3 linked regions of the Tribolium castaneum genome follow. The protein of the gene in region 3 purifies or fractionates together with the protein of the main gene of each other region. This does not show direct contact. Links are inferred from orthologs where the notes say so. Each region holds a gene or a part of one and is shown on either strand. Other genes may lie near its edges.

Evidence for each region.
Region 1: the proteins of N (region 3) and Dab purify together in Drosophila melanogaster (affinity purification with western blotting; 4 studies listed by BioGRID). This does not show direct contact. The link is inferred for Tribolium castaneum from reciprocal best matches to the Drosophila melanogaster genes N and Dab.
Region 2: the proteins of N (region 3) and Ser purify together in Drosophila melanogaster (affinity purification with western blotting; 5 studies listed by BioGRID). This does not show direct contact. The link is inferred for Tribolium castaneum from reciprocal best matches to the Drosophila melanogaster genes N and Ser.

Annotation. Positions count from the first base shown.
Region 1 is NC_087396.1:23,476,418-23,480,499, reverse strand, and holds the start of Dab (protein disabled), read right to left. Parts: upstream 2,832-4,082; 5' UTR 2,651-2,831; coding exon of another isoform or gene 2,629-2,650; 5' UTR 2,254-2,628; coding exon 2,217-2,253; intron 2,158-2,216; coding exon 1,928-2,157; intron 1,884-1,927; coding exon 1,740-1,883; intron 924-1,739; coding exon 786-923; intron 741-785; coding exon 525-740; intron 472-524; coding exon 147-471; intron 1-146. Other genes in the region: probable RNA-binding protein CG14230, read left to right, coding at 3,030-3,086, 3,134-3,310, 3,358-3,557, 3,607-4,082. UniProt on the Drosophila melanogaster protein: Together with Abl, involved in embryonic neural development. May have a role in eye development. Acts as an adapter protein for SH2-domain containing proteins during sevenless (sev) signaling.
Region 2 is NC_087396.1:10,169,713-10,173,364, reverse strand, and holds part of Ser (protein jagged-1b), read right to left. Parts: intron 1,029-3,652; coding exon 459-1,028; intron 1-458.
Region 3 is NC_087400.1:125,300-129,399, forward strand, and holds the start of N (notch), read right to left. Parts: upstream 2,848-4,100; 5' UTR 2,296-2,847; coding exon 2,211-2,295; intron 1-2,210. Other genes in the region: CCDC151 (myosin heavy chain, clone 203), read right to left, coding at 3,082-3,312, 3,366-4,100. UniProt on the Drosophila melanogaster protein: Essential signaling protein which has a major role in many developmental processes. Functions as a receptor for membrane-bound ligands Delta and Serrate to regulate cell-fate determination.

The sequences.
Region 1 (4,082 bases), on a different chromosome or scaffold from region 3:
CTCCGTTGTAATCGCCGTGCAAAAAATATCTCACAGCGTACTTTTTTCGGACATGTGATATGGTGTGTTTAACTTGACATGAAAACCAACTAAAATTACGACTAACAAAAAGAAAAAAAATATTGTTGCGTAAAATAAAACCTTACCAAGTGGATCTAACTCTGTGAAAACATCAAATTGTGACAAAATCTCCTGCTTGGTCATTTCGTGTTTTTCATCTTTGGTGGGTTCAGGCACTAGGGGAGGTTCTTTGAATATGCTTTTCGTGGACTGAGTGAACCAATCATCGTCATGATGCGGAAAAGCGTCTTTTTTAATTTTTTCATCTCTCGACTTAATTAAACTATTATCACAACTTGCGTCCAAACTGGTTGCAGTGTGCGGTGTCCGCGGACTAAAAACACTGCTGGAATCCGAACTTCGACTCGACCTCTCCCTTCCAGAAGACGGAGGCGGTGGCAAAATCGGCTTCTAAATTATACAAAAATTATACCAAATAATCCAGACCTTAAACATTGCCTTACAGTATAACTCGTAAAACTATCACCAAACGGGTCATCCTTCGAGCCGAACGGATCAGACGGAGTGATCCTTTCCATCTGGTTGAGGCCCTGCTGAAGGCTGTTCAGCTCCAACTCCAAGTCCACCAAGTCGGCCACCGCTGTCCCGCTCGTTTTACCCTCGGAATTCGACGCCTTACTGTCATTGGCCGCGCTTTTGGCGATTTCCTGGCTCACAGGCTACAAACCCCCATTTAACAAAATTGGCAAATCGGTGAACTGTACCTTTGATGCTGAGACAGAATCTGAGAAGAGGGGCGAGCTTGTGAACCGACTCTTGTCCAAATGTTGCTTGGCCAACTCAATTTCCTTCTTCTTGAGGGCGAAAACCACTTGGAACAAGTCCCTCATGGCTATAACCACCTAAAAGGGGCACTTGTACCACCATCCAATAGGCCATGATTTTGAAATTAAGTTGGCAACATCAACAAACGTCACAATTTTATAACAGTAATAAAAGTAATTACTCAGGTAACTCTACACATATTGAAAATTATATATAGTATTCTAGTAGTAACTTTTTTACTTTTTTGACTATAAGTAGTTTGTTAACGAGTTTATTGCTCATTTTTTACCAGGAGTTTCATTGATATGGTAGCGCTCAGCTCCGTTTGCGTGTGCGTCAACTGACATTTCTGTCACTAAGTTTACATAGCAGGGGCATAGCGGTGACAAACTATCAAATACTTTTTGAGGTTACAAAGTGTTTAAATTATGAGTTGTTACAAAAAATACAGATTCACAAAACAAGAACTAATAAACGCAGAATCAAAAACCTAACGAAACGCAAATCACAAAACACAATAAACGAACAGAAAATACTTGCGATTAACACCGATAACACTTTCGACAACCATGCGATGACGTCTATAATTTACTGTCAATGTCAGGTTGACAAATTCGTGACACTTGACGGTGTTGTCGAAGTGCACATGTAAATTAATGTTCAAGGATACCACCCTTAGGTAGCCCTTAGCTGTTTAAATTTGCATTGTTTTTGATAATTTTTTATAGCTTTGTGTTGGTAATGAAAAAATGAAATTGATGACGCACACGCAAATCGAGCTGACCGCCACTATAGTTGTCCATACTGTTATTTTTGTGACTTGAATTAAGTATAAAGTTGTGAGTGGTTACTTTCCGAGTCTGTTAGGGCTCTGTGTTGCCCACTTGACTTACTTGGCTGGCGGCTTTGTCCGTTTTGATGCCGAAAAACCGGTGGCCGGTGTCCGGGGAGCCGAAAATGTAGCCAAAGGCCCTTGAGTCGGTCATGTCCTGAGCGATGAAGGAGATTTTGTGGACCGGGTGGTGGTAGAGGGAGTCCTGAAAGCCACTATTAGGGGGTTAAAGCTGGTGGTGGTACGCACCCCTGTTTTTTCGTCCCTTAGTCGCAAGCCGTCAATTGCAATGTTGATTGTGATGCGCTGCTTGTGCTCCCCTGCCGCTCTGATGGCCATTTTCAGGTCAGACAGGGCCTCCTGGCACATGCGGTCCCCTCTGGCTTCGGACACTTCCAAAATCCCGATCAGTTTGGCCTTAAAACTCACACCATCGCCCAGGAATCGGGTGGTCTCGTTCTTATCTGAGAGGAAATACGCTGATAAGGGGAGAAGTGAGCGAGTGCAAGACGGGGAAACCGTTCGAAAGGATACTCACATTTCAGGGGACTTGTTTTTTTGCGTAATGTTTGCATGGTTAGTCAGAGGTGGGTTTTAAAACACTGTTAACCATCCGGGACCAAACCATCACATTTTATCACATTATAAATTGACTTTACACTTCCCATAATAATGGAAATTGGGTATTTACAGAGCGGTTAGCTGAAAGTGGTTCATTTTGTGTGCACTGAATTAATTCTTATATTGATCATTGAATCCATTGATCAACCCTATTTAGGGGTGTAGCAAGTTTGGGGTTGAAGCTTGCACATGCTCAGTTCGGCGTGGTGTAATCACATTTTATTGATTTTGAAAAAGTTTACAAGCTCTAGCTCTATTTCTACGATTTACCAGAAAATAACCCAACACCTGATTTTTGCCATAATAGTTAAAAAAAAAAGAAAAACTACCCTCTGATGGTATTTCAACCATTTGGATAATGGTTCCTTCCAACTTGGGGCGCAAATTTTCCGAAATCACAAGAAACCACCGTCATGGAGATAAATGTACCATAAAAGCGGCATCCATCACAGTAACGTCATACCATCATGGTTTCATCTCTTCCATAACAGTTGTTTGTGCAATTACTGCAATTTCCCCGCATTTTCTCGTCTTTAGTCCAAAACCATCCATTTACTCGTGCAATTCTAATGCAATTGAATTGCAATTTTTGAAAATTTTTTGGAAAAAACCTTTTCGAAAGAAAAAATTTAAATCAAGTTAGGGAAATTAGTTTTGTAACCGACTTGACATAACCTGGTTTTAACATAACCTTACCGTTATAACCTCGTTATTTTATAATTTTGACGAAATGGTTAAAACCCTTGATAAGCAAAAGTTGATTATAAAAGATGCTCTCACCAACGTCGTAAGTTTTTTGTGCTCGATTGTATTTAAATAAAACACGCTTTTAAGGATGGAAAGCCCAACAAAAAAATTATTTTTCGCGAAAATCTGGACGACTCCTCTCAGCTTAACGGTGCGAGTTCGCACCATGAGCCTCAAAAGTCGCTTTTCGAAAGTGACGACGAAGCTGAAGACGATTTGAGGTTTGAATTAAAGCCTCAGTTTAGTGGCAAGAAAGGGCACCAAGTAAAATAATTAAAATGTGGTATTGCTTTGCTCATGTTTTGTTGCAGCTTTTTGAGCTACAGACGAAATACAAGGGTGATAAAAGGTTTGCGTTGGACGAACGGTTTGCTGATGCTAATGACGAAGAGGAAAATGTCGTAAATGGCGAGTGCTCGCTTGAAGACGAGAAGAAACACGAGTTGAATATTTTAGAGCAAGTTTTGGGAACCAAAATAAAGACGAAAGATGTTAAGGTGCAAGAGGATGGGTAAGTGTCGGTGTTAGTTATTTTTTTATACAAGGGTTTAATTGTTTAGGTCAAAGAAAAAGCGAATGGTGCGGTATGATCCCTCACAGTCAGATCATGTGAAATTCCATGTGAGTGTAACTCAAGATGAGTCTGCTCCAAAAACCAAGAAAAAGAAAAAACTGAAAGATGCACAGAAAGAAGATTCCAATATTCAAGAGCAAGAGCAGCCAGTTGTTTCAAAAGAGATTTTTTATAAAGTAGAAGATGGTTTAAAAAGTACACTTGAAGAGAAACAAGAATTTAGCCTATTAAAATTGTTCGGACAGGAAGAAAAAGACGAACTAAATAACTCGATCGAAAATTATGAAACACAAACCAACAATAAAATACGGAATAACGCTTTCCTGAATGACAATCCCTTCCATTACGATTCGTCAGACGATGAACCGGAAGAACCCAAAAATGCGGAAACTACGAAAAAACCTGAAGAATTTGAAACAAAGGCTCAGACAAACACTGTAAGAACGTGGTTTGAACCATTCT
Region 2 (3,652 bases), on a different chromosome or scaffold from region 3:
CTGTACAAACTTCTTATGGAATAGTATATTATTATACGAGTTTTATGAGACGTTCTATTGTGGTACGAATGGAGCACAACGAAGGAGTGCTTCAATAGAATAAGTGCCACAATTAAGTGTTATAAAACGAGTGTTTTTATACTTTCTATTTTTGTTGTTTGTTTGTTTAGTTTAACTTATCAAAACCTGTTTAAACTATTTCCTGTTAATTTTGTTAATTATTCGGGCTTTATCAATAAACGACTTGACGCTGTTGACAGATCATACACTAAATTACAGTGATGGCTAAATTTACTAAAAGGAGTTGCACAAAAGTTCTATTATGACAAAAATAGTAGAAAATTAAAATCGAGTGATTTTGTATTTCATATCGTCTCTTTCGTGGATAAAAATGGTTCAAGTTTTCGAACCCACGAACCGCCACTGCTTTCGTCGTGAATATAATAAATATTAATTACCGTTACACTGCTTTCCGCTCCTTCCGGGCGAGCAAATGCAATCAAAATCGTCGATTCTATCCAAGCAAGTGCCTCCGTATCCGCAGGGGTTGGAGGCGCAGTCGTTGACGTTGATCTTGCAGTCCGGTCCTGTGAATCCAGGGGCGCACTCGCAGAGGAACCAGTTGACGCCGTCGATGCACTTGCCGCCGTTCTGGCACGGCTGGGGGATGCAGTCGTTGACGTCGTCCTCGCAGTGCACGCCCTCGAAGCCGTCCCTGCAGATGCACTGGTAGTAGTCGCCGGTGTTGACGCAGGTGCCGCCGTTGAGGCAGGGGTTGGAGCGGCACGCCGTCTGTTTGGCGATGTGACAAGTGGTGCCTTCCCAGTCGGGAGGGCATCGGCACATGAACGTCTTGCCCAAATCCTGGCAAGTGCCGCCGTTCTTGCACGTGGTGTGGTCGCAGTGGCTGTCTTTGAGAGAGCACGTTTTGCCCTTCCAGCCGTTCTTGCAGTTGCACTCGAAGTCGGCGATTCGGTCCACGCAACTGCCGTTGTTACGGCAAGGGTTCGGGCTGCAGTCGTCCGTGTCTGCAAAGGCAAAGAATATTATACAACTTTCTGACTCAATGAATTGTTCTCAAAATTGTAAACACAAATTCTGTTCGAGCATTTCAGAAATACAACTTTAATATTGTGAGCTTACTGCAAAAAGTGGCCAAAGTCACAAATGAAACTTTTTCACAAATTTATTCTACAGCGTGCTCAAAAACTGGCGCACCAACTCAATGGTGTGTGGTAGAGAACTGAAACTAAAGAAGTTAACACAATAAGTTTGTAGCTCCAGATTTTTTAAAATATGACTTTAGGAATTTTTTCAACATTTTTCCCGTAATCTGCACTTGCTTCTCAATAACGTACCACTGAGTTGGTGGACCAGTTTTTGAGCACCTGTATAAATGGTTATTTATATTTTGCGTTTATAATACGTTTATTAACATCTTTCAACAGGAATCGTTTATGTCTCATTAAAGTACAGTGTACTTTAATGAATTTGGGGATATTTATTATTTATTATTATTATATTTATTATTATTTAGATTTAATCATCATTTCTTCTTCATTTATTATTATTGTCGTTACCAACTGACACAAAAATCCCTAGAAGACAAAAAAATAATTAATCAAAATAAAAAAGGGGGCCCAAAGTTTAAAAATTAGAAAAAAAGACTCGTTTTATAAGGGTTTTGGCGCACTCATCCCACAGAAAACTTGCCTATGCCTCTTTTCTCGTGCGCAACCCTTATAAAACTTGTTCTTTAATACAGGGTGCTCAAAAACTGGCGCACCAATTCAGTGGTACGTTGTTGAGAAGCATGTGTAGATCACGGGAAAAATCTTGAAAAAATTCCTAAAGTCATATTTTAAAAAATCTGGAGCCACAAACTTATTTTGTTAACTTCTTCAGTTTTCATTATTTTTTAATATTTTTATGTTTCACACTAAGTAATCGTTCGCTAACACAACGATGAATAATTATTTTTAAATTTCCTATCAGACTTTAGCAGTTTTTTGTATTTAAAAAAATTAAAATTCATCAAAAAAATCACAGTTTGTAGATGTGCCAACACTGGGAATTATTTCCTAGGCAACCATTTCAAAAATAATTTATTTTTATTCGGAAATAAAATTACCGTTGGGGGCGCCACTGAGCTAGGTCGAAAACAGTAACCATAAATGGCGGGAAAATGTTTATTCGGATATTTTGAGCGTTGTACGAATTTTGGGGCTTCACAATTATTACAGTGCCTATGCGGAATGATTATTGCATCTTTGATGCAAGAAACTTATGTTGACAAATGAGAGATGACGAGGAAAACACGAATAACGAATGACTGTTTGGTTCACTTTCTTTATTGGAAAATTATTACAAAAACATTGAAAAGCCTACCTTTTGGCATAATTTACGTTTAAATGTATCAGCAGTTGTTAATCTTTATTGTAGTTTTGTAGATTTACCGCAGCATTTCATGATTTTTCCAGAGGAAAATTTTAACCTAAAATTCATAACATTTCACTAATTTATTGGTTTCATGAGCCAAACTTTGTGTTCGCTGTGATCCATTACTTATAATCTTTAATTAGACAACTGTTTGATAACACTTTGTAATCAAAATTTAAATATTTTTCACTTTTTATCCACTTTCAAGTTCCAACAATAAACACTTTATACCACGAAAAACTACAGAACCAAAGTCAACGCTAGTATTTACCACCACGTACTTTTAAAGTAATTCTTTCTATTGTAAGTAATTAACACTACACACGCAAAATTGTTGAACAATTCATTAAATGTCAGTTAAATGTGGCATTACGAAAATTTCTTTACTGTTTTCGACATAGTTTAAAAGTCATCACCAGAGGGCGTCTAGTTAATTTTATTTCCGAATTGTTGATCACATTCAATTGTGATCTCTACTGTTAGACAACGTTGCCACATATCGTTTATTTAAAATCCGTTATTTAACAATAACTTTAATACAAAGAATTTTTTAACTATTTTTACCTTTATATGTAACCAATTCTCTTCCACACTCCATTGAGTTGGTGCGCCAGTTTTTGAGCACCCGGTATACTACTATGAAGTCAGTGATGTTTTTCTTTAAATAACTTTTGGTGGGCAATTACGTAAGACACCACACTTTTTAATGAAGTTATAGAAATCCACGTATGTTTTGTAGTTATACAAGAAAATGTGATCGTAATAACGTAAAACTTCAATTTTTTGACTCATCTCTTACCATTAATTAAGTACAGCTTTGAATGATTGATTTTTGTTAGTTTGTGTCTCAAAAAATGTGTTAAAATGCTTGGAATTAGCTTAAATAACGTAATTCAAACCTAAAACCACTTTATGTTTTATTTATAGCAAAATTTATCAAATAAAGTAAATAACGATCTCCAGCTATTTATTTTTAGGTTGTTTCTGGTAGAAAAATCAACAAAACTTCTAAACTAATACATTTGCTATTTTAGCAAAATATCTTGAATTTAGTTAGTTACCACAAAAACCGGTTAATTCGCTTAAAACTTGAATCGGCGGAAAATTAATACTTCTGAACAGAAATAAGTAAAAACCGAGATACGAACAAAAACTTAAATACAGACCTAGTAAATGTCGTTTTTTAGCTATTTTCGTCAAAATCTCTCCAAAT
Region 3 (4,100 bases):
CTTGGTAACAATGTTATGTTGGTCCTTTCTGGCCCAATTTTCGTAATATTGCACAATTTCTTTATTTTTTTTTTCAAAGTTTGTGTAAATATCTAATCTTTAAGCGTCCTTTTACATGTGTGTATGAGCATATACAGCTGTGTCGTGACGTCACACCCGACGTACTTTAAACCCCCCTATGTATAAAAGTTCTGTAACGGTCATGACAGGTGGTCTCGTCTAAAACGGGCGCGGGTTCAAGTCGCAATATTTATTTGTTCCCTCGGTATAATTTTTACGATGATTAAAATTCAAATTCCCTAGAGAAAAAGAACAAAGTGAACGCAGTGAGCTGGGAATACGAAAACACACTCACTAGATGCAGATTGCGTGAACTAAATAACTGGTTTCATGCAACTCTTGATTATTCTTGAGAACTAAACTAATTAATAAAATATTTATCGGTTCCGTCAAATGACGTAAGATTTTTCGCCACACAACTAATTAAATTTTTGGCTCGGTTTCTCATCCAACGTTGAAATCTTTAGCACATTTGCGCGCTTGGTAAATTTTTACTTTAGCTACTTCTGGATTTTTGAAAATTTTTTTTTTGCATTTTGCTTTAAAAAGCCTCTAGATCAAAGATATGACCATGAAAGTTTGTGCAAATGCCCCGTTTTCGAAAAATTCTACTTTGAATGACCTTGACCTAGACTTTTTAAATTTTATTAACACTCTAATAAATGATATTAGCCGTAAATATAACTATAAATGAGGCAAGGCGCCTACAGATGATAGCCCGCAGGCTGGGGCTTCGCCCCAGCAGGCTGGGGCTTCGCCCCAGCGACCTAAAAATAAACATACCCCACGGACGATTAAACTCGAAAATGTTGAACTCGAAACGTGGAATAGTGGTTTTTATGGAACTATGCTGCGCGTGGCTGGGGCTTCGCCCCAGTTAACTAAAAGGAAACATACCCCACGACCAATTAAACTCGAAAACGTGGAACTCGACACGTGGAATAGTGTTTTTTATGGAGCTAGGGTGCCGTACAGTTCGTGGCAGGAGGCTGGGGCTGCGCCCCAGCTAACTAAAAGGAAATATACACCACGATTGGTAAATTAACCTCAAGAACGTAGCACTCACAAAAAAATACCTTGTTCACCACTAGTAAGTAAAATAGTAATGGAGTGGTGTTGTTGGTTGTGTTGTTGCATGAAGGGAAATGCGGGAATGCATCCCCACTTCCGTCAATCAGCCAATCAGAGCACAGAGACATAAATTCAAATTGCAAAATATGAAAAAATACACCTACTTTTTAATGAAAAAGGTATAATACGTCATTTAAATTCATTCTGGGAATACCCGAAGGTGTTATAATCATAACAAACACGCAGGTGCGATTCTTACCTGTTGAAGCTAAACAATAACAACCAATCAGAAATAAGCACACGCAACGCATGCACACCCTGGTGGCGAACGTTGTATCCCTTAAAATCAACAAAAATGGCGATTCAAGTGAAATGAGTGAAAATAAAAATTATTTTTGTAATGTTATTTTCAATTTGCACAAGAAAATTCATAGTGTACGGTCATCAGGGCACTCAGAGGAATCGTTTGGCGTAAGTTTCAGCTTGAAAATCCAGAAGTAGTTAAAGTAAAAAATTATACCGCGCGCTTTTCACACACAACAGCGCGGAAATACAACAGGTTTGTTACACTTAACAGTGCACATAATCCCAGCACTTCATTATCTACACATCTTTATTTAATTTTGCTGCAATTTTTGAGAATAAAAACCATGGCAACGATACAATATTTTGACATTAGAACCATAGCAACGATTCACATTTTGACATTAAAAACCATAGCAACCAACGGCTTAACAAGGATTCAAATTGTGCACCAACGGATTTCTGGTTATTTTGCATAACTGGCAATGTGCACATTTCGTAAAATTTCTCAGGATATCCCCTAATTACGATTTTCCGTCACTTAACTTGTTTACGCGAGTATCAAGTGGTACTTGAGAACCTGGCGTTTTGTTTACATTTCATGCCGGAAGTGTGCTTTATATTTGCCTAATTATGGTCCAGCAATGCAATAATTGGGATAAAATTCATCCGGCGGCGCCATTTTGCTCTCGCTCAAAACGTCAAAAATTTTGACTTCACAGCCGTCTTAATCTATGTGAAAGTCCTGTTTTGGGGCTGTTACGAGTGGTCCTCACCTGTTGCTACATTCGCTAGGGCCAGTAAAACCGCGGAAGACACTATAATCCGTAAATCATAATCCTTCCAGTTAGTAATCCACATTTTCGTGTAAATTCCCTCATGGGGCACACACTCCACACACGCACCACTACGTTAGACACATTCTCCGCGTGCTTTCGGCCACTTTTTCAGTGTTTTTCATTGAAAATTTGCGTTTTTTCAGCGCTTGAAATACGCACAATACACAACCGACCACAGCACACTCCGTTCTGAGAGGGGGCTTTGTTTGAGACGCGCCAAGATGGCCACCGGATGATTCTTGTATTCCTACGCCGATTTATCTCGGCAAACTCACCGGAAAATGGCCAAAAGCCAGCGGAAAAAACACACCGAGGACAGTTTTTCACAAACTGAAACGATTCGTGTGCAACCTATTGCGCGAAAGTGCCAAAGACGGGAGATAAGCGCGTGAGAAAATTTCTTCGGTACTACTTTTCACAGCAACATGTTGGAATGTCGGTGGTTCTTCCCCCAACCAATGACGGATTCAATATTCAGACTGATTCAGATTTATCTCGTTTACCGAACGAAAGAAAAATCAAAACTGCGATATGACCACGATTAGATAGTTTCTGGTTTCGCTCTTGACACACGTTTCACGCGGGTTTTCACCAAAACAATCTGGTTGTTAAGGAATGATAGTCGGTAACCATGGTTTTTTGTACCAATAACCAATCGCGCCAAACAAAAAATTCAAATTTCGCGCTGCGTGAATTTTTATTGTTTATTGTGCCCAGTTTATGTCGTAATTGCGTCTAACTGTTATTTTCAGCGGAAAATTTTCACATAGTTATTTGCAAATTTATTACACAAAAAATTTTACTTCCTTTATTTTTTTGCGGGAATTCGAATATTTTTGCGCCGTGACTTCGCATCGACGACTAATTGGGCTTGACGTTTCAAGTAAGTCCTGGACGGGACCTCCTCCTCGTCTTCAGATCCCGTGGGAGGTGGAGGAGGAGCCGGGGAAGTCCCGGGCTGGGGAATTGGAGTTCTACGTACTAGGCCACTGTACGGTCCCGGCAACCACTTTTCTTCAATATCTTCAAGTTTAACGACCTAATAAATTAATTTATTACAAGGAATGGTAAAAAATGTGTTAAAAAAGCTACGTTTTCTTCGTTTTCAATGCGGATAATTTTGGCCAAATCGGACTTAATGCACTTCAAAGTGCCCAAAACGTTGCTTTCTGGCACCGAAATCGGGTTAATGCAAGCTTGTAACTCTTGAACAGATCGGAGAATCGTCTGAATCGTCTTATCCTTCACCAGTTTCAAATTGTTGGTTTTGAGTGATATGTTTTTGATTTCGTCGATTTGGCTTAGCATTTGTTCCATTTTAAGCGACTTGCGTTCAGTTTCCTTCACTTCAGCGTACTTGAAAAACTCCAATTGCGTGTTTAAATCGTCCAAATTCTTCTCGAGTTGTTTCTTCTCGCTTTCTGATTTTTTCCGTAGCAAAATAAGCCGTTCTAAGGTGTCTTTTTGCATGTTAAATTTGTGTAAAACCTCCGAGGTGTTAGTGGCCCCTGTCGCTTTCTTCAAAACCTCGAAAGCCCGAGTTAAAACTTCCTCCGGTGGTGATAAAGTTGTGAGCATTGTTTCATTTTCCTCCTCAATTATTTCCTCAACTCTTGCGACTTTCACAACTTGGAAAATACGTTTTTCCAGCAACTCTAACTCTTGTTTTCGCCTCGTAACCAATCTTTGGCCTTCCACAGTTTGTCTATCTCTAAAATGTGCACTTGACATTGCAATTTTCTCCTCTCGAAGGAGGTGTCCACGTGCTGTGCTCCGTTTTTTCGTGGCTTCGTTCATTACGTGTTGCAGTTCGGTAATGTCGTTATT